3 linked regions of the Oreochromis niloticus genome follow. The protein of the gene in region 3 interacts with the protein of the main gene of each other region in a pairwise test. Links are inferred from orthologs where the notes say so. Each region holds a gene or a part of one and is shown on either strand. Other genes may lie near its edges. The genes, in order: nrf1, pou2f1b and sp4.

Evidence for each region.
Region 1: the proteins of sp4 (region 3) and nrf1 interact in binary tests that used the Homo sapiens proteins (3 or more experiments, as listed by UniProt). The two-hybrid records come from large-scale screens. The link is inferred for Oreochromis niloticus from reciprocal best matches to the Homo sapiens genes SP4 and NRF1.
Region 2: the proteins of sp4 (region 3) and pou2f1b interact in binary tests that used the Homo sapiens proteins (3 or more experiments, as listed by UniProt). The two-hybrid records come from large-scale screens. The link is inferred for Oreochromis niloticus from reciprocal best matches to the Homo sapiens genes SP4 and POU2F1.

The regions. Positions count from the first base shown.
Region 1 is NC_031981.2:11,025,653-11,033,215, forward strand, and holds the start of nrf1 (nuclear respiratory factor 1), read right to left. Parts: upstream 3,103-7,563; 5' UTR 2,962-3,102; intron 1,414-2,961; 5' UTR 1,371-1,413; coding exon 1,302-1,370; intron 1,156-1,301; coding exon 1,011-1,155; intron 461-1,010; coding exon 346-460; intron 212-345; coding exon 85-211; intron 1-84. UniProt on the Homo sapiens protein: Transcription factor that activates the expression of the EIF2S1 (EIF2-alpha) gene. Links the transcriptional modulation of key metabolic genes to cellular growth and development.
Region 2 is NC_031987.2:21,331,151-21,338,992, forward strand, and holds the start of pou2f1b (POU domain, class 2, transcription factor 1b), read right to left. Parts: upstream 3,036-7,842; 5' UTR 2,959-3,035; coding exon 2,913-2,958; intron 1-2,912. UniProt on the Homo sapiens protein: Transcription factor that binds to the octamer motif (5'-ATTTGCAT-3') and activates the promoters of the genes for some small nuclear RNAs (snRNA) and of genes such as those for histone H2B and immunoglobulins.
Region 3 is NC_031985.2:23,769,510-23,776,750, forward strand, and holds the start of sp4 (transcription factor Sp4), read right to left. Parts: upstream 3,081-7,241; 5' UTR 2,344-3,080; coding exon 2,337-2,343; intron 2,054-2,336; coding exon 1,983-2,053; intron 979-1,982; coding exon 628-978; intron 536-627; coding exon 1-535. UniProt on the Homo sapiens protein: Binds to GT and GC boxes promoters elements. Probable transcriptional activator.

The sequences.
Region 1 (7,563 bases), on a different chromosome or scaffold from region 3:
GGAGAACACTGAGGTTTGGTGTGATGGTAAGTTTCACTGTGTTACAAACTAATGCTTTCTACCTGCTCTATTTATAAGACTTACCACATTCTCCAGAGGAGCAGCACCAAACACCTTGAACACAGGGTTGGGTTTGGAGGGGGAGATGCACAACACTATGGCTTGTTGGCCCACTCTGGTGGTGTACTCATCCAACGTGGCTCGCAGTTTCCTGTTAACAAACACCATCCTTTACTTCTGTGTTCAGATTAAAAGCTACAAAGCACAACAACAATTCTACCCTAGGAGCTGAGCGAGGGATATTTTGGTCACCGTAGCTGCTGACAGAAAAGCTATTAGATTCACCTGAGGAGACGAGTCTGCTGTCTCTTACGGATGGAAGGGTTGGATTCAAAGATATGAGGCCTTTTTCTTTTCTTCCCAGTTGCTACGGCAGCAGCAGCTGCCATACCCACTGGCCCTGAAAGAAAGAGGAGGAGGGAGAGATTTTAGCAAAGGTAAAAAGAGACAAAGTATTTTCCTTCTCTGATTTGAGCTTTTAAATACACAGCCCATGCGGTTGTTACTGTTTATTGTTCTTTCTCTTTTTTAATATAAAGTATGTTTTTAAAAAGACCTGAAGTAGCACTTCACCGATTTAATTTCAAATCATGCCAACTTTAAGATGAAAAAAACCCCCTCAAAACATGGCAGAGGCTTGACAGAAGGCAACACTGCCTACACAACTAATCCACTGGCGCCACCTGTTGCTCAACTGAAAGCATTTTGCTTAAATTATGGTGTTATGGGATTTACCAGGCTTGTATAATTAAACACAGATGCTAAGAAGAATTAAAAAAACAAACAAAAAAATGGTCTGTTGTAAGGAGTTGACTGTCTAATTTGCCACAAACTTTGCAACCTTAATAATGATTATCAACACAAGTCTACAGGTCGTGAAGCACTTCTGCTTGTAACTTTGGTCAGACCCAACTAACACACTCTGGAAACAGCACAGAGTTTAGACTCACCTGCAGCAGCCAGGTGAGCTGTGACCTCATCAGTGCCAGCCGAGTTGAGGATGTCTGTGTCATCATAAGGATCGTCATCTGGTGAGGAGGTCGAGTCTTCCTCAGCGCTCATCATGGATGTGTCAGTCAAGGTGGTCACATGTACCTATACACGAATCAATGAATGAATGAACCTGGGACTATAGTGGGGCGTTAAGATTTCTGATCTGGGCCAGTAATTTAACAAGATGAGTGATTAATATCAGTAAATTTGTTTCTAATTTACACCATTTATTATGCTTGTAAATGCACCTGCTGGCTGACAGCGCTAGCCTCAATTGTGGTCATGTGCTCTGCCTGGTGAACGGAGTGCTCATCCATTATCAGCCAGCTGGTCTACACAGCTAGGTCCACAGTACAGTTACTGAGGAAAAAAAGAGGGAAGTGATCAAAGTACATCAAATTTAACGAATAATGATATGTTATCTTAACAAGACAATATGCTGATATTTATTTATACATTTAAATGAATTCCTATGCACCAAGAATTTGGAAGTGTTATGATATTTCAGACAAAACTGTGACCATGCACAGCTGCCACTGTCATTTATTTTTACAGGGAGAGCTGTCTGATGAAGATGCTGGGGTGTCTTTGTGCTTGTGCTTAGTGCACCACTGCCGCTCTGCCTCCAGAGGACGTCATACTGCATTAATAGGGAATTTCATTTGGAAGAGTATTGTCTGAAAACAATGATTCATTTTTTTCCACTCTTGTCTGACTGTACCACTTTCACTCTGCCCATAGAGGGCACTTATGTTAGGTGTTACAGGTGATGAATTTGGAAGATGTGCATTCCACCCAGTAATAGATAGCTTAGCACAACAAATCACAATTTCATGTCCAACTAAAGGGTCTTTTAAATTAAATTTTGTCACAGTATGGGAAACTCCATATTAATTTGGAAAACTGGATATATGAGTATGTGGAGTTACACTGTAGTGTGGCTGAGGAAAAATAAACATATATTGCACACTAACACACACATAATGCTTATGTTCACTCCAAATCAATCAAATTACAGCGGTTAAAAGGTTTATGAATAAATGAAAGGAGACCGTTTCATGTAGATAACCTGCTTCATTGATACAGTGCAAAGATGATTTATAGAATAGTTCTTTAATCATGTATCTGCACACACAGTTTTAACTTTTATAGTGGCATACAAGAACGTCAATACTGCCCCCCCCAAAAAATAAATAAATAAATAAATAAATAAATAATTATATATAACTGAAATTCAGGTCATTAATTTCAGTCTAATATATTTATAGCCAGCTGCAGTACATGAAGTCTAGACACTGAGGAGATCAGTGATGCACGAAACGCACAACTCCACAACAATGTGTATGTGTAACCAATTTAGTGACCTGCAACCAGCTTAATTTTGCACAGCACTGGATAAAGAATTGATCGTGCCAGACAGTAGTGTACAGTTAGCCGGATCTGCCGGTCTACTGTCAACGACTGCTTCACTGAGCTAAGCTAGCAATGCCCTACATTCAGCTAATTAGCTGCCTAGCTAACCATTTGGCGGTATAAAGCCGGTCGTCTAAAATAACACGAATTCTGCCACCTATTTTGCACGTTCAGACACTAAACAAAACGATTACAGGGCGCTGTGAAAGCCGTCGTAATGCAGCAGCTAGCACGAAACCCGCGCAAAAAATCACACAAAAACATAGCGCCATAACAGGCCCGGGCCTGTGGGCTCATCCTCAGCTATTCTTCTCTCTCCGAGGTTGAAGTCGATACGCGCCTAGATTACGATTCCCCCCAAAAACAGATTTAAAATACAATCCGACTCCAGTCAACAGCTAAACAATCTGCATCGTTCACCCCAACGCTGCCGGGTTCGATGATGCGGCTGCGCCGGGGCTGAAATAGATGGAGATTGCGCGGTAGGGCACTAACCTCAGAGCGGCTGCGCTACTTCGGGCCTGCGCCGTACAGCGGGGATGGAGCCGAGCTTTAATGGAGGACAGAGGGGAGCCAGCACCAAACACAACCAACAGACCGCACACAACAGTGAGCTGCACTAGTGATGCTTTCAAGTGCCTGCCGCGTAACCGTAACAGTAATACTCAAGAACTGAAACTACAACAACAAACGCGCTCATAAATACTTCGTAGACATTGTTTTCTTTAAACTGATTCTAGTTAACAACTCATTGCCGATGTTTCAGCATGACAGAAATATTAAACATAACTTCACTTTTTATTATGTCAGTTTTTAAATTCTCGAAATTTTTTAATGAACCCCTACAAAACTGTTAAAATATCCGATTTTATTTCAGAGCCTTTATGTTTTTTGGGGAGGGAAGAGTAATTAAAAATGAAAGGGAGCATGGAAATATGAAACATAAAGTTTATCTCAGTAAATAAAAGATCAAACTAAGTAGTTTTTGCTGATTTTCCACGTGTAGAAAACCTGGACGTCACTAAATGTCCAGTTTAATATAACACAGACCTTTTTTTCATTGCGGTTAAGCCCATAGTTTACGATTCTGCAATGAAACCTAACTTTTCCTGTACTCATGAACGCCACATAAGACCTGTCGAGCCACGCCCCTTTCTATTCAACAGCGGCAGGCGCCAGAAGATGGTCGTTATTCAAAAGTGGTCTAATCCGGTTTGGCAACAAACAAACACGAAACCACACAAAATTAAAGCATCTTTATTTTGTGTTAATAAAAGCTACCCCCCTACTCAGACCCCATCATTAACAATTAAAAAAACCCCCAACCAAACAAACAGAAAAAACCCCCCAACAACAATAGGCTAGACCAAACCAAAATTTCCAATTTACTGTAATTAGCAACTCCTGTGGTGCTGTGACATAGAGATGCCTTTAGATTCTTCGAAGAGGTTAGTTGACTAAGCTGTTACTTGTTCATTTTCTCGTGTTTATTTTCTTTCCCTAATAATACACAACTAATTTGCACAACTTTAATTATGAGACTTATGCAAAGTTTTATGCGGAAACATAGCAAGATTGGGCAGTAGCAAAAGGATAGCATTTGAACCGGTTAACACAGATTACAGAAAGTCATCCACCCAGATCAGTGATAAAATCGAAGGAAATTTGAATTCAGATTACTTTGTCAAGAATTTTACTATGCCGATTTTAAAATAGTGAAATATTTTCATAGTATCAGTTAAGTCATGTCTATCAGATTACTGCCTTGCTTAATAGTTAGCAATTTTTAAAAATAGATAATTACGTTTAGTATAGTATTATATTTATAATAAAATGGAAGATATGCATCATAATATTGTAAAACGGCAACAACAAAAACTTACTCAAAAGAAACATGAACCTATAAGATGCACGCTACAGGGTAAACATGCAGTTTGTGTATTTTGTTTGTCAGAAATCTTTTATTCATTTGAATGGAAGCATTTTTGTGCAACTCAAAAATAAAGTTCCAATTAATGAGGTTTCTTTGTTGTTTTTAATACCAGACATTCAGTGCTTCTGAGCTTTCTGCAGCTTTCTCTGTATTGGTGGCAGATATTAAAATGAAGTTTAAGACATTACTGTAACCCTAAACACAGTTGGCATCTTAAACACCTTCTGGTGGGAAAGTGAGCTAAACGGATAAAGAGGCAAGTTTCTGATGCGCTTATATTTAATTTCATACGTCCTCAAGGGGGCAGTGTTGCATTACAAATCAGTCATGGAGCTGCGCTCTTCAAGTTTGTTGTAACAGGAGATGGCAGTAGGGCATCATTGATACGGCTCTCTGCAGGTGCCCTGGCATGTATTCAAGATGATGGATGTTTTACATTAGTGTGTGATGACAGCAGCTTATGTTTGTGTCTCACTAAATGTCAGCAAGTATCATATTAAAAAATCTGGCAGGAGAGCTGCAGAGTGTGATCCTGCGTTTTACAGCTTCCATACTGTGTAGCTGACCTTCAATCCTCTCTGTCTCACTGTCATCCCTCTCTGTCTTACTTTGCTTTCTACAGACAGACATGTGTTTTCATTGTTTCCTAAAGCTTCACAATGGATATTTATATAGAAAGAAAAATTGGGTGTGTTTTCTTTCCTGTTCCACACAACTCGCGTTGAAATTTTAAGAAGAATTTGTTGAATTTTCTTTGTGAAAAAGTCAACCTTTAGCTATATTGTTTGCCTGGACTTTTATTCAGTTTTCTGACTCAGGAGATCATTTAAACATATTTTTTTTTTTAACTAACTTGCACTCTGGCGCATAGATCATTTTAGCAGAGTCGAAACTGCTGACAAATAATTTTTATGCCATTCACAGAAGTTGTTTCCCAAGGGCACTGCAGTGTGAAGCAATATCCTTTAGATAGGTGATGATGTCACATAGATGGACTGAAAAGCTGGAGAATGTTGAAGAAGCAAGGTGCTGTTATTTGGCCCTATTCTGCTTTCTCTATCATGGGCTATGGTTAGGTATAGATAAGGTTTACAGCCTGGGGCTCTGGAATCAATAATGGATGTAATTGGTGAGCTGGAAGTGAGGATAATTGAAGGTAATTGTGTGGACCGTCACCAGCTTTGTCGAGAGGTCAAGTTATCGAAGACGAGAAGATGGCGGGGATGTGAAATCACTCTCTCTCCCCTAGACCTCCTACTGTATACCTATTGTTTACAGCATTATTTAGTAATAACACCTTTGCATTTTATTGACTTTCTTTTTCAAAGCTGAAACAATAGTTCCAAGAATAAGGTGTTTGTCCTTACATAAATTGTTATATTTGCTCAGAAAAAGCTATATGACCTTGTAGTAAACTAGATCTTTTGCATCTTTGGGCCTTTTGGTGTAAAGGTCCAATTTACAGATGTTAGAGTTTAAGCTTGTGCTATTTGTAGAGGACGCTTTACAAACACATTGCTACCATTCATACTCTTAGATCAGATATTTCCTTGTATCAGCAGCCTCACCCTTCTGCTGTTCAAACTTTCTGTTTATGAGGGGGACCCAATCAGAAGAAAGTTGGCTTGAAGTTACAGTAACCTGTTTCAGACACTGCATGGCCTGAGGGGCTGCATCAACGCCTAGTATAAGATGATTTTCATTTCTACTTGACTGGATTACTGCAACGCCCTTTTTGCAGGGCTTCCTAAAACAACTTTCAGTAAGATGTAGCTTATTCAGAGGTCTGCTGCAAGGGTATTAATGGAAACCAATAACAGAGAGCACATTAGTGCAGATACTGGCTTCCAGAATCCTACAGAATTGATTTAAAAATATTTTATTTATATAAACAAATCTTAAATGGTCTGACAGTTAGTCACTTCACATCTGAGTTTGCCTTCTTAGATCTTCCACTGCCAAACTGTTGGCTATGCAGTACTCCTCACAGAGAAAAATTGGGGATGCAGCTTTTGCACATTATACCCCCAAACTCTGAAACAGCCTCTCCCTCAAAATATTAGAGAAGTACACTCTACCAATAATTTCAAGAAACTGTTAAAAACACGCTTTAAATCTGGCATTCAACTAGCATACCACTGTCAGTTTTGGTGAGACTCCATTCAGTAGTCTGGCAGATACGACCCATGCTTCTTCATTATATTTTTCCCTGTTTTTTGTGGGACTTTATGTATTATTTATTTTTATGTATGAGCTGTTTATAAACTTGTGGGTGTGCATATATGCATTTTTAATGGGTTGTTCATTTGTTAAATATCTCTTTTTAATATATTTATCAACCTCCTTACCCCCAGAAAAGCCCTTTGAACCCATACATGTGATATTGGGCTATACAAATAATTGAAGTGGATTCATGTTTATTTTGAACTGTGAATCATAAAAAGGCACGCTACTAGAGTCCAAAGATAAAGAATGGAAATTTTGGAAAACAGCATAATAGATCTCCTGTCATTTAAACACAAATTTGTAGTTTGAATTGTCATTCTATAAATTCTTTGGGTCTATTGGGCTTCCCAATAAATCTTTAATCCAGTACCAACTCCAAAATATTTTTCTTATCAGTCTCAGTTATTTTTATCTGGAAGAAAATTATGCAGCCACTTCATTTAGTCACTTGATATGTGCATGTTGTTTTCATTTTTTTTTTTTTTTTTTTTTTTGTCAGTACAACCAGTGCAGTTGTAATGCTGGTCCATAAAGCAGTGAACTGTTGCACTATTTTGGCAGCATTCATTAAGAATATGGTATAAAATGGTGTAATTTTTAATTTAAAAATGTCTGCTAGTCAATATAATTCAAGAATCACAATGCAAAAACTTATAGCCTGTGCATATGTAGATGCTCAGAGTAACTGTTATGCTCTGAGTCTCTTTGGCATTGTGTATTGGACTGAAGCAACTCATAGAATATTAATTAAATTCTCTCATAGATTCTTTTCTCCCAGTGAACTTTCCAGGGGCAGAGAAGTTATTAAAGGTGAAATGTGTTCTATGGTCAGCAGGGGGCACTGCAGTACTGTCCATTAACTCAAATCTCAACCTCTGCGAAAACTTAACCGGTGCTCTGCAGAGTCATGGCCACTGAATGATATGACACTTTCATTC
Region 2 (7,842 bases), on a different chromosome or scaffold from region 3:
ACAACTCAGCTACTTCAAATGGGCACGTACAGAGGTTAGCCACATGAACCAGTACTACAGTCTGAATTCAGACACACATTCACCACTTAGGAAAACAGCACATGCATGAACATTTGATTATTAATGTGTTGTGTGTTTTACTTTTGTCTAATAGGAAAACAGTGCAGCCTTTTTCCTTTAAAAAAAAAAAAAAATGTATCCAGCTTCCTGACTGTTGACTCAAGCCAACATTTTAATCTCATCTATTTAAAGGACGGGCATTATTGCAACGATATTTCAGTCTGGATATTTTCAGACAAAAGGCCTCTGTTTTCTTAACGTGCCTTGCATTATATCGTGTTTGCAGCATTTAAAAAAAAGTTCTAATGAAATACAAATGTTTACTAGTACTAGTGATCTTAATTATGTTAAGCACATGACAGTCATCATCAGGAACAATGTGACTACTTCCAAATCTTCAGCATATAGAGTCTGATTTAATCTTCCAAATTAGTGTGTTGTTTGTCTTAAAAAGCCTCCGTTTTTACACATAAAGACCAGCTGGAAACATCTGCTTTACCTTGCTGCACTGTTTAATAAGGAATTGCTGTCTTTACCAGAGATCACTAAAAACAAAACAAGTAGTTACAACCCTGAGGACACAAAAGAGCTCTTTTTTTGGTTATAATTTTCCTCCATTAAAAAAAAAAAAAAGTCGTCTGACTGGAGCTTTCATGGAGGCCTTCTCAGTACTTTGAGATGGCATGTCCTGAATTTATTACGGCAAATGATGCATTATTCATAACAACTGTGTTTACATCAATGAATATTCATGATGGAACTACAAGGCTGGAATGAGGGTGGAACTGTAAAACTGATTAAATGAGAAAAGTAGACTGAGTGTGAGGAAGACAGAATTACTTCTCGCATGTTCTTAAGTGCCCAAGTTTAATATGCAAGATTTTTTTTTTTTTTTTTTAAATGCAATCTAAGCCAATTCCAGACAGTCGAAATGCTAACAGACACATTAGAATGTAACACTTTGAGCATTATTTTGAATATTAAACCATTTATGGCCTTTCTTCTCAAACAATCTATATCTTTTAGATTCATAACTGTCTTGCAATATATAAGGACACTGCCTGTAATGCCTGTGTGCGCATAAAGTTGCTAACAATGTGGGCAAAGTTTGAAATGAGTGTATCTACATCGGAAAGAATTCAATCTTATTCAAGAATCCTTAACAAAAAAAGCAAACCCAAACCTTGTTTTAACTTGCTAAGAGACATTAATACGTTCCTCTGTAATTATAAGATAATGAGTCGGTTACACCACTTAAAAAAAAGAAGAAGAAAAGAAAAAAACTCAAGGACACACAAACACACCTGATGTGTCACACAATGGCTTTTCTGGCGCATTTTCTGAAATATAAAAAGTTGAACAGCAAAGATAATTACCTGCTCTTTACTGTTACTACAACAGACCTCAGACACGCTTCTTTAAAACAAACTAAACAGCAAGCTCAGCTACATGGACTAAAGGAGAAAAAAAGTGCCATCAAGCTGTGTCTTGCCCGGCCATGAAAGCAGCAGAGTGAATAATAAGAATGCCCTGCCTGTTATTACTGTGGCCTTCCGGAAGTGGGCCTCACCACCCCTCCCTGTGCCTAGGGGTGGCGGGTAGGGGATACACAGGTACAATCTTTGAATTCAGCCCAAAAACTCCAGCAACAAACACGCATGACGCGTACAAGCCCGGTTCTCAAAACCGTTACGTCAGGCGCAATTAAAAGCTGCACAAATAAATTATACATTGTAATGAGATGGATTAGTTCGCCTGGCAGACCAGGACCAACCCGATGCCAGACTACTCCCACCTCAAGTTTAAAATAATAATAATTTAAAAAAGTGCTCGACCCAACTTTCGAACTGTTTAACTTCCGAAACAAATATGTCAAACACATTCATCTCAACATCTCACTATATATGTATCTGACCTAAACTTAAAAAAATAACAAATAAAATCGCCGTGTACGTAAAGTTAGCCGATAAACGGCTGGCAAGTTGTAGCCAGTTAGCCGCTCGGAGGACAGCCGTATTCAAATGAAACACGGGAGGCCTCATTTGAAAAGTCATTCGGCGTCGTGACACGGTGTTGTGTTGACATGCATTTATTGTGTGCTCCTCGTCGACTGCTGTAACGCGCTGAACTCCGCACAGTGTGGCTCAGGCAGGCAGGCCCCGCATGAATAACACAACAGGCTCTGCCGTGGCTCCGCTGCGCCGAGCACACAAAAGGCTGGGGCAAAACGCTCCGCTATAAAAATCACGTCGAGCACAAGCACTCCGAGCTGACTCCGTGTGTCTTTAACAAAGGGAAGGTCTGCTACAGTTTGATTAAATAACACCCTCCTCCCTTATAAACGACCCTTTGAAAACATACGAGCGCAGCCGCTGCCCGACTCGGCTAAAATGAATATGCAAACCCGTTTCAAAAGCTTCGGTGTGTGCATCAACACAAAGCCAAGCGCTAGCACGGCAGCTAACGCTAGCCAGCTAGCATAATCATTTCAATCAAACAGCGTTCGTGAAAGGTCTAAATATGTCATACATGAACCAGAGCCACGATGGCGATTACTAATAAAATATGCTAAATTGTATTTGTCGACAGAGGTATGAATATGTAGCGGCGTACAGCCGTCTAATCACACAAAGGGGGGGAGGCATGTTTCCATGTAATTTGCCGTCGCACTGCAAAGGCTCGTTTCCTCCTCTGTCAAATTACAGTTGGCTAGCTGTGTGTAAACTAAAGCAGCGCCTAATATCGCCCTTATCTGCTAATCAATCTGCATTTCATCAGTATACCGTTATCATAAATTGTGAGTAACACAGTTTGAATATGAGTATGAATATGTAAAATGCTGTAATCATTACCTGCTCCTGAACTCTCATCTTGACTCGCTGCTCCTCCGTCCGCCATTTTGAATATTTAACCCGAAATCCCAGCCCTGACACACACTCACACTCGCACATATACACATACACAAATGCACGTGCACGTTTTCATGGATTCCCGCATGCGCTCAGGGACCTGGTCTGAGGATAGTGGAGCGTGTTGTGAGCTGTGGCTTATTTACATACTTAAACAGGCATCTTGTTTTCTTTACACAATAATTTTTGAATTGAACAGGCCATGGGCGGATCACCCAGCGGACCTGCGCAGTATTATCGCGGAAAACACTATCAACACTAGCCCTGAAAATTGCCCAGAGCCATTTATGCTGGTTTGACTCACCACTTAAAAGTCAAATAAAACAAAATATACCCCGAGGAATTTAGAAAAATGCGTAATGTGTGACAACCACAGTCATCTTAATCTATGACTCAGACTATTTCACAGAAATACCAGGAGAAATATTGTATTGCTATTTACTGGGGATTTATGAACTTGTATTGATGCTTTGTCTGCATGTGTTGCAGCAAAACATTGATTAGACCATCTTATTTCAAAAACATATACAAAGCATGAAGCAACAGAAGAACAATGATTGTATTGCTTTGTTGTCATGCGTGCCCTGATAATGATGTTTAATGTTCATATAGTCTTATTCGAATAGACTTTTTCTTTTCCATATATTTGCTTACTGTCTCTGGTATCATTGCTGTTTCTGTTTATTTATGGAAAAAGTAAACATGTAAATCAAGAACACATTTCCTTATATCCCCACCCCTTCCTGCATGTTGTCCATTGATCTATACCAGGATATATATCAGAATATACCAGGAGTATGACGGTTTTCATCCGTCATGAAAACGGATGGGGGTTTTTAATATATATAACTGTTGATGGCTTTTAAAAAAGTGTTGCGCCTCTGAAATTCACTATTTCAGTTTTTAATGTTATAATTTTATCCCTCCATCCAGCGTCATGGAGGGCTTGTGTATACCCCAGGTGTTGTAAAGTGAAAAGCGAGGTATTCTTGGACAGGCTGACAGTCCATCACAGGCCTAATATAAAGAAACAGACAACTACACACTGTCATATCTACAATTGTGGTCAGACATTTACATACATCGAACACGGGGATGAATGAGCTTTTACTGGCTTCTCTGCACTTTTCATTTTCCAGGGTAAAGCATAGATCTTTATTGACTTTGAAAAAATAAAAATTGGCTACACGAGTTTGAATTTATTTTTGGATTTTCTTGAATCCCCACAGGGTCAAAAGTCTTCATCCTTAAATACATACACCCCCACTAATATTTGGTGAAATCTCCCTTAGCATCTTGCACCTTGACCAGATGATTTTGATTGCCATAAGCAAGCTTGTGGTTGGATATTTGACCGCTCATCAGAATTTATAGAGTTCATTTAAAATCATTGTTTTCCTGGCACGGACCTGGCTTTTAAGCATAGTCCACATATATTTAATAATGCTGAAATCTTCTTAAGTAGTACAGATACTAGTGTTAAAAATACCCCAGTAAAAGTAATGAAGCAACTTCTTTACTCAAGTAAAAGTACAGGCTCTGAAATGTACTCAAAGTAAGAAAGTAAAAGTTCATTTACACCAGCTATTTTTTTTTTTGAAACCTCACTGAACGTTGTGCTATATGTATAATAATGTAATAATGTAATAATTAAATAATATTAGTATATAGGAAACAAACTTTATTTCCATCTAAATTTAATTCTAATAAAGGGACCAAGCTAAAATCAGTTTTACTGGCTTTAGTGACTCACAACTCAGAATAATTTCTATTGAGAGCTGCAGCAGATTTTCTTTGTGTACAGGCTGTGATCAGCTGACCTGTGCTGCTCTGAGGTTTACTGCTCTCACCTGAATTCAACAAGATGTAGGCAGATGTTTCATAAGTTCTCCATAAGACACTATAAAGTTGGTATAACGGTGGAATTCAGCGAGTGAATCTAAGTAACATCAGCTTAACTTCAAATTCATCTCTGCTACACTTGATGTGATCTAACTCTGACCATGAAGCCACAGCCACTGTCCACCAGTCACACACAGTCCTTTACTGTGAATAACCACAGTACTGCAAACTAACCTGTTTATCCTGCGCTAACCTGCAGAGATTTCTCATGCAGTCTTTAAATAGCACAAATAGTATACAACAGGTTGTTGTGCAGCACGTTTCACAACATGAAAAAAAACATGTGACATGTACAGACCCAATAAAAACATGAGGACTTTACATTTACCACTGAGCGGTCCTCACCTTTATTATGACCTCCCTTCTCCCTCTTTCTATCACCGAGTGAAGTTAGCTCTCATTTTTTTCTATCCCTGTAAACACATTTAAGCTAGCAACACACCGTGCGACAAACTATTAGACACAGTTTGCGTGTTTAATTATGTTTGTTGAGCTAATAGAAACGCTGCATTTTAAATGACCTGCCACTTAAAAACAAACACATCACTCCCTTTATGTTTTTTCTCGCTCCTCTTTTGTAGGGCTAGCTAGATGTTGAAGGCCTACAACTGCAGCTTATGGACATCTGCAGGTGTTCCGGTGTTGTGCTAACTTTAACCCCTGGCTATGACACAAGGTTTTGCCTCTTTCATCTGTTTTTGTGCTACATTGCCTGGTGATTAATACGTAAACAGGACTGCTTTTCAGGTGTTAATGTTTAGGCTCAAATTGGTTTGATGTTTGACGGCTCGACGTCACTTTGTGCACCGTACCAGTGCGACTGAGAGCAAAACAGCCCCGCATTACGATGCTACAGTTTGAAACAAAGTTTGAAAGCCTCATTCATATTCCTTCAAACATACCTCTTGTTATTGTAGCCAAGTAGCTCAGTCTTTGCCTCATCTGATCATAAAACATTTCTCAAGAAGGCATTTCCATGTGGGCAGCTGCAAACTTCAGCTGAGTTTGAAGGTGCTGATTTTGGAGCAGGGGCTTCTTTCTTGGTCTCAGTTCGCGATTTTGTACAACTTGCTTCACAAAGGACAGTGAATCCGCTGTTCGGGAATTTTCTAGTTTATGGCAGGTTTGAGCCTTGGTGCTTCTTGGGTGGTTCCTAAACATCATAACCAATTCCCTCTCCTCTGGGAGTGACAGTTTGGCTCTTCCTCCAGACCTCGCAAAGTGGTGACAAATCAGAAAAACTTGTACTTTCTGTTGTTTAAAGTGGGTTAAAGTGTTATGCTTGTCATATGCTCGTGCTGCATGCTGATTGTCCTTTTTCTGTGAGCTCACTGTAAAAAACCAACCAACCAAATTATTGTAATTGTTTATCTGGTACTTAATTGCTTTGGTGTAGTATTAATTTTAATGGCAGGAGACTTTATCAATAAGAGAACCTGTAAAAAAAAAATAAAAATCAAAAATCAAAAATCTATGCACTCCTTCACCTGTCCAGTGGACTGGAGTTCAGCCTTTGCTGGGCCGATTCTGGCCCGCATGTTTGACACTGTTAGCATATAGTATATAGGCAGCTCTGAAAAAACATTTTTGCTTCAGCTGATTAATCAGTAACAGAAAAATCAATAATTTACTTACTGAGAAATAATACCTTATTTGTCTTGGAAAGTTTTTGCTCTGGATTTATTCCCCCTCAGTTTGTTTTATTGTTCACAACTAGATTTCAGCTTTACTTGAGTATTTTATACTTAATTTATTCTGACTCCTATTAAACTGTCAAACAGCACCAGCAGGAAAATGTTCACTAATAGAAGTAAATGGGTCATTCCTAGTATTTAGTGAAATTCTCATGAGAGAATCTAGTGCATTTTGTGTCAGTACTAGTCAATACTTTTTTCTAATGGCTTAAATTATCAACCCTCATCTACCATCTAACACAATTATATGTATCCGAAATATTTTTTATAATAATCACTCAGATTTTTAATTAAACATGTTTGTTCGGTTTTAGTTATCAATATGTTATAAAATTAAGACAATTTCCATTACTTATCCACAGCCTTATTTATAATGTTCTATACCAACAACTATCGTTGCTATCAATACAAACCAGGATGTTTCAATTTTTTAAAAATAGGTTATATCCATAAACTGTCCCTCCTGTTACATTTACAGAAGTCCTTCTGATCAGGTTAGTTAACTGTTCCTCTAGTCATATGACTCACAGGAAGTAGTAAAATGTTATTGGAGGGAGTTTTGCAAGAGTCAGAGTAAGTATCAATCTTTGCGCAACCTTCCTCCCCGCCATATTTCAGAATGGTTCACAGAGGTAGTGAAGTGCAAAATGTCCACTCTGTTACATTTATTTCCAGAATAAAGTGATCATAGTTGATATTTTGATATGGTGGACACACTTTTAAAAAAAAACAAAAACCTTTTTGTAGTTTTGATGTGCTTTTCTGTTGTGCGCCACATGATCAAAAAAAAATCATAAAACATCTTCTGTGTTACTGACGACCCGTGTCACTGTTTTGCACAGTAACAGGGTGGATGCACTGTAATAATCATAGTGGTCAATTCACATGCTCTGCACATTTTTGTGTGCATTTTTAATTTACTGATATTACAACATGTAGGAATTTAATTAAATGTTCAGCACATTCAAATAGTATTCATAGTTTGGTATCTAAATCCTAAAATTGTTGGACAGCTTAAAAGTGTTTAAATTATAAATTAAAACATTCTGGCACGATGGCTGGGCTGTTACAATTCCCATTTCAGCTGGTTCAGTTCAGTTCAGTTTTATTAATATAGTCAAAAGGTGTCCAAATAAAGCTACTTTCACCTATTCCCTTGTCACAGCATGAGTTTTCCACTGGACACCTTTCCTGACATAACCCCAAGGAGGATTTGTGTCTCTGACTAGAACTGAACCAGATACCTGTTTGTTTGCCAACTAATTGTGTAATTCACT
Region 3 (7,241 bases):
CTGTGGTAGGAGCCGCCCCTGACACAGCTGTTGTCACCAGCTGGTTGCCATTAGCAACAGAGAATGTGCCATCTGCTGATTGGATAAGCTGCACAGCTCCACCCCCTCCAACATTATTGATCACAGGCAAAGCCAGGGTCATGCCACCAAGGTTTATAGGTACTGTGGTCATGACAGGAGTTTGGGAGCCTTGCAGAGTCTGCAGCTGAAGTGGGAATGACTGCGCAGGACGGATCTGCAGTGGAACCGTCTGATTGGCTGTACTCGTCAGGATGGCCTGCTGGTTGGTGGGTTGAATGATAGCTTGGGTCTGGCCCGAACTCGGAGTCTGGATGAGCTGAACCTGCTCGGGAACGGCCCCGATGGAGGCTGTTTGAGGGCTGATGTGGATCTGCTGTCCATCTGCAGTCTGCAAGTGCGGGATGACCTGATACTGGACTCCTGCTCCAGCATTGGGCAGGTTCTGAACCTGGATGATCTGAAATTGCTGCTGCTGATTGGCTGCGACACTGTTGGTCCCACCTACTGCCTTTACCTGCCCAACAGGAAGGGAGCAGTAATTCAGTTATATGGACAAGGATTAAAAATTAATAAAAAACATTTGCACAAACACACCACTCCCCTCACCTTACGTCCACCAGGTGAGCTGTCATTAGCCAAGGTGGTGGCCACGGTCACAGCAACAGGTTGACTGGTGTTCTCCTTGGCCATAGTAGGCGCTGCTGTAATGATCTGCCAGCCGTTCCCTGTGAACTGTGCCGGGACCAGTTCTAGCTGCTGGGGCACTAAGGCCTGACCCCCAGCCGTGTCCACCACTATTTGACCCTGGATCTGTCCCGCCTGCAACTGGATCTGACCAGCCTGGACCTGGATCTGCTGGGCCCCTGCTTGGGCCTGTGCCCCCTCTGCTCCCCCCTGCCCTCCGATCTTACTGCAGGTGGCTGCTAGCAGAGCCAATGGAGAGGGCTGAGAAGAATCCTAGAGGAGACGATGGAGGAAAGTGGATGGAGGAGTAATGGATGGATGGATGGGAGGGGTGAGAAGGGTGATAGGGAAAATAGGAGTGACAGGGGAAGGAAGGATAAGAAGGGAGTCAGGGTTAGAAACATACATTAACAGCTTGTACGCAAACACAAACAAATCAAAAGAGTACATGTGTAAAGATAAAAAAAACTTAAGGCCGGGGATGATAGCAGGTATCATTGCAAACGCTCACGCAATGATTAATTTTAAATGAATAAGAGAAAAAGGAAAAAGAGCAAGGGGTGGGAAATAACATGGTGCAGAAAAAAGAAACACAAAAAGCTGAGTGAAAGCGAGAGAGAGAGCTGTCAGTGGAAGTGGGCGGTATTACAGGAAGCGAGTGGGTGGGCGTGTGAGAACCACATTTCTCTTTTCTCAGAACACTGGAAGAAAATGCCGCCTTCTCTCTCCTCCCTTTTCAAAGGAACTAGGTCGCAGGCAAATTTTTAATGCTCAACACCTCACAACAGTGCACGGGGAAACAGCCTAGATTTTGTAACAACTACAAGAGCAGGAAAATTAACACAGCAGCGATGCTCGTCATGCACATTTAATGACAATAAGATGCGCTCAAGAACAGCTGCCTGGCTCAAAAATAATCTCAAAGATATATATGTATACAACCTGCTGCAGAGAGAAGTGTCACAGTCTCAGGGCCACTTAAGCAAAGCTGCAGGTCTTTCAATAATATCCACGTGCGGAATTAAATCATTCTGACCATAATTCAAACAGACAGTTCAAAAAGTATAGCGGCTGAAGTGTGACAGCCGTGTAAGCCTATTCATGAGGCTCTGGGTTGGCTCACTGTAGGGCTGCACAGAAGCAGGAAGTGGAATTCACCAGAGAAACGCCCCCAGAGGTGTCTGGCTGGCTGGGCTGGGAGGGAGGGAGTACATTTTTGGCCTACAGGCAAGGGAAAAGTAACGAACTATAATAAACTCCTGTCTCCTTGCTTTTACCTGTGATCCAGAACTTTTCCCCCTTTTAGATGCTTTCCCTCCTTCAGTTCCAGATGATTCCTTCTTCGAGTCTGTGAGGAAGAGGAAGAAATGTTAGAATATTTTCTATTATAATATTATCACTTGGGTATTACTGAGTACTACAAAGTCCCGAGCACTGTACGGGGCACTGCATGCTGCAAATAAAATCCAAGCAAAAAAATAGCATATATGGCATCACAGAGGTGATCAATATAGACAGAAGAGAAACCAGTAACCTTATCATCAATATCAAAGGGGCATTGAGCTTCCTATCTGTCAAACGGCTAGAAAGAGGGAAAGAGGGGTGGAGACGGGGAGGGGGAGGGTACCTACCACTCATAACGCATTAATATACCGAGAGGGAGAGGGTGTAGTTCACGGTAGAAGGCCGGCCGGGTACACAGGCGGAGGACGGCCTATATGTTCGGCTCTGAGCCGTGGCGGATCTGCCCGTTTGACGAAACCACCCACCGGCCAGGAAGGGCGGTGCCAAGCGCAGGAACAATCAAACAGCCCCAAATAACGGAAATAACAGAGAGAGCGGTGACCGTCCCCGGTCCGCCGGACACCTCACAGATCCGTCGTATGACTCCTTTACCGGATAGACAGTCCATAAACGAGCAAATTGGCGCTTGTCAGAGTGATATCCACAGAGAAGTTGGCAGTGTGTGACCGTAGAGGCCCACCCACTTCCATTTAAGCATCAGGACAACACCCTCCTCGCAGCTCCTGCCTGTCACCGCTGTTTCTCACGCCGCACGACGCGGGGACGCCTCGTCGCTGTCCGTCGCGCGCCGAAAACAAACCGTCACCTGTGTTGGTATTTTAAGCGTGTTCCCCTTTTTTTCGTGCACAATTGATTTTTTTAAGGGGGGGATACAGGGAGATAGCTGTGGCTTTTGTGGGCGGACGCGCTCCTCCCACATATTCAGATTGGACGACGGGGCTCGGCGTGCGAGGGTCGAGATGGGAGTTGTATTTTGGTGAGGCCTCGCCTTCTCGAACTGGCTAGCGCGAGCGGGACTACAACTCCCGTGATGCTCCGGCTCGTCGGAGCGGCGGTGTCGGTAGTCATGTTGGTGTGAGAGCGAGAGGGAAGGGCGGTGACTTCTGTGTTGTGGGGGGTTGGGCAAACGGGAAAGGAGGTGTGTGCGCGCGCGCCCGTGTGTTTTGTGTGCGCGTGTCAGTTTCAGAATGTCAGTAACGATTAAAAAGATAAGATAATCAGGGAAACAAATGATTTAATTATTTTGAAATCATTTAAAAGGTGAAAATGCAACAGTGTTGCTTCTAAGCTGATGTACTTCTATTTATTTACCTCGTATATTTTCCCCTTGTTGACAACTTTAGATCTTATGTAGTAGAAAATTACATCATTGCATTGCCAGAGGCTTTAGGAAATTCACACTTGTACAAGATTTGTGTGTGTGTGTGTGTGTGTGTTTGGCTGTTGTTATGCAATTGTGAATTGAATATGTTGATTCTGACTGGCTAGTTCAACAAAAATGCTTCTTCAGACAAATTGAACTTTTGGGATATGCATTATAGCTTCATTCTGCCAATCAATAGTATTTTTTACAGTGGGGGAAACAATCATTTGATCCTTTTGAACAATTTGTATTTGAATGTGTAAGTTTGGTCAGTTGCAAAGAAATAAACAGTCTCTAATTTTTATGAAAGTTTTATCATGGAGAGAGACTACTTGGATACTAACCCCGAGTTGCTCTCCAATGCATCGGAGTATGAATGTGTGTGTGAATGTTAGGTAGGAAGCACTTAAAAGCATAGAAAAAAGTGCTTCTGTGACTGAGTCTGAATGTGGCATGTTGTATAAAGCGCTCTGAGTGCTCTAGGAAAGTAGAAAAGTGCTATATGTGACTTAAGCTTGGGTACCTTGATGCCGCTACAAGATTTCAAGTGTGAGCAAACTTACAAATTCAGCAGGGGATCAAATAATTATTTCCCCCAATTTGGTCCCCCAAAAATAGCTGATTCCAACTCCTCTGATGCTAATATGTTCATGTTTACAGAGTTTAGCCTGTTGGTTAGGGCTAACATCCCATGCCATAAACCACAGATGTTTAAAAGAATGCTGAGAATCTTAACAGCTGATGCATTTAAAAAAAAATCATCTACTAATTAAATCACAGTAAATATAGTCATTATTTTTTTGTTCATTAAGTGACTTTGTAGAAGCTGGTTGCTTATATCATCCAGCAACAATACACACTGTTTTCTGTTTAGACTAATAATACATAAACAGTCCATCTGTTTTAGCATTCAGGAACTGTCCACGAAATAAGAATCAGCCTGGCATGATAACTTTATCCCATAAAGTGACACTGTTACTACTGTTCTGTAAATGCATCTGGGGTGGTTTCAGGCCGAGGAACAACAGCTGCACTTAAGTGTCTAAATAGAAACAGAAGTCAAGTCTGTCACTCTAGTGACAAAACCTCTTTCAGACTTCTGAACAGTGTGGTTTTAATGCATCTGAGAAGTAGAGGTTTGTGATGAAGCAGAAGGCCTGTATGAGGGCCTTTAGGCCTGTATGGGTTTCTCCGTGGCTTTAGCCAGTCACAGCCCTGGTTCACTAAGCAGAAAACATCATTAGCAAGAGGCCAACTGAGGATATGGCTCTGGCCCACAGGGGAAATATTTAGGCTTATAGACTGGCAGCCAAGGCAATGCAGTTGTCTCAGTGTCTCACCCCAACATAACATCATAAACACTCAGACAGGATGGTATAGAAGTTCCATATCTAGTATTAATTAAAAACGTGACAACTCATCTCTAATTGACGTGTTAATAAGTTGTTTCCCTGAACATGATACTTTTATGCCTTCATGTGCCTAAATGAGGAAAACGTGCATAGGTAGCCCTAAACCTTTGCATCATCTTAGTATGCACAGACCTCTAAATGTGTAAATAAGTGTCTCACGTGTCTTCACCAGCCTATCTGGTGTGTGCCTGTAAGTTAAACAAACCTGCTCAAACTCTGAAAACTATTGCAATATATGTAACAATCAGAAGTCGTTGTTGAGAAAGAAGAGAAAATTGAAAAAAGAACAAATATACAGTAGGATTAAGCATCGTGCTTGGCTTTTTTGTTGCCATCTTAGTTATAAAATAAGTTTAGCACTGGTTAGGTAGCCTGTTTAGCAGCGTGCATCAATGATCCAATGGGACATTAAAGGGGTTGTTAACTTAGGCTAGCATAAAACAAAATGACTGAAGGAAACAGCTGTTTATTAGCACAGCTGAATTCTCAGCAAAAGGTTGCCAATTGCTTTACGTGTCAGAATGTGTTTAATATATCTCTATATCTATCTTAAATGGTAAAAGATATCATAAGCCTTCAGCTTTGTTCCTCATCGCCCACACACAGCCACTAAGAGGTTACTGCTTCCCTAACTTTGAAACCCTGATGGTATAAACCAACGTATCTGAGACTGTCATTACCATGCTGCAGTCCTAAGGAGGAACTGTTCAGCTGTAATATCAGCTGGTTGGTTTCCTCGTGGCTTTCACACGTTAACGCTGTAAAAAACACAATTTTCACTAGAGCGAGTCTTTCAGCCTTGTCCATGCATGTAGCTTGCATTTGATCAATTTAGTCCCTGTGTGTCCAGCATGGATGTAACAGGTAATCCCATAGATATTCTTAACATGGCCTTTCACATTTGATTATCATAATGCTGAGACATATCTCATGAATGAGACTTTTCACACTTAAAGGCCTAAAGAGATTTTAAGAACTTTGTTCTTGTAGCATGCTCATACACTTTATGCTTATGTGGTTTCGTTTCCCCTTTTTTCAAAGATTTTTATTGTGTTTGTTTGTGTCATTGTATTTGGGGAAACACTGCAGTCTAAACATATTTTCATAATGAAACTATGTTCACAGGAAAACATACCTGGGCTGGCCTAGAAACATACATGCACATGCACTGTAATTACTGCGGAAGCCACGGCCCTTGTTCCCGCCTTCTGGGCCACTCGGCAGGGCGTTGCTAGGCAACGAGGTCTGCTCGGAAGAAGGGGTGTTGTTATATATGTATGTAAGGTGGTGGTGATGGAAGGGGGTGTGGTAGAAAGAAGGCTGTTCTCTGGGATAGATAAATATCCTGCTAACAGAAAAACTAATATCCACTGCAGTAAAACTCTATGATACAATAAGGCTTTAATTTACAGCAGGTTCAATCCTCGTTAAAGTTGTATTTATCATATTTGTCTAAAAGTCATTGAGTTTCCTGCAAAATGTAGCATCCCTTTATGCTCACTAAAAGACAAATAAATAAATAAACAAATAAATAAATAAAATATCAGCTAATAGATAATAAACATTACAGCTAAAGGAATTCATGATGGGAACAGGTTACAACTGATAGTTTCATTTGTGAACAGCTGCAACCACTAGATGGCGCCATGTACCAGTCAGGACGACAGATTGTGTACTCGTCCTTGCAGCTGTTTCCACAAAAGACTTGTTGAGATTTCTTACAATGAAAAAAAAGTTATTTAAAAAGAATCCGTTGCAAGTCAAACTTCTGCATTGCAGGTAAAGTCAAAGGTTTTCTGAAGGGTCCTTTTATGGTCCTTTTATTTATTTTCTGTTGTTATACGGAGCCATGAACAAAGTGTTTGCGACCTTGTTGATTTCTTAGTTTTTTGCATATTTGTCACACTGACTAGTTTTAAATCATCAAACAAATGTTCATATTAGACAGAGATAACCAGAGAGAAAATACGGAACAGTGGTGAACCTTCTAAGCCAGCCTACCAAAATTACTCCAAGTGAACCCAGAAGATAATTTAAAGAAGTGCAGGCCTCACTTGCCTCAGCTAAGCTCAGAGTGCTTGATTCAACAATAAGAAAGAGACTGGGCAAAAATGGCATTTATGGAAGAGTTCTAATGTAAAAATCACTGCTGACCAAAAACAACACAAACGCTTATCTTATATTTAACAAAAAAAACATCTGGTTGATAACACATTAACATTTAATTACACTATAGTTTAATTGCACTATAGTTTAACAACACATAGCTTTGTTGAATTTGTGTTTATAAAATTTGTTGCTACTGTTGTTGTTGCATCATAGAAAATACTCAAGAGCCTATTCTTGTGTCCTTTAATGTAATTATTGCAGTTCAGCTTGAGTTTCTTTCTTTCTGATGAAAGGCAGACTTCACATTTGCTGTGCTGTTTTTCACTTTCTTGTTGTCCTATAACCAA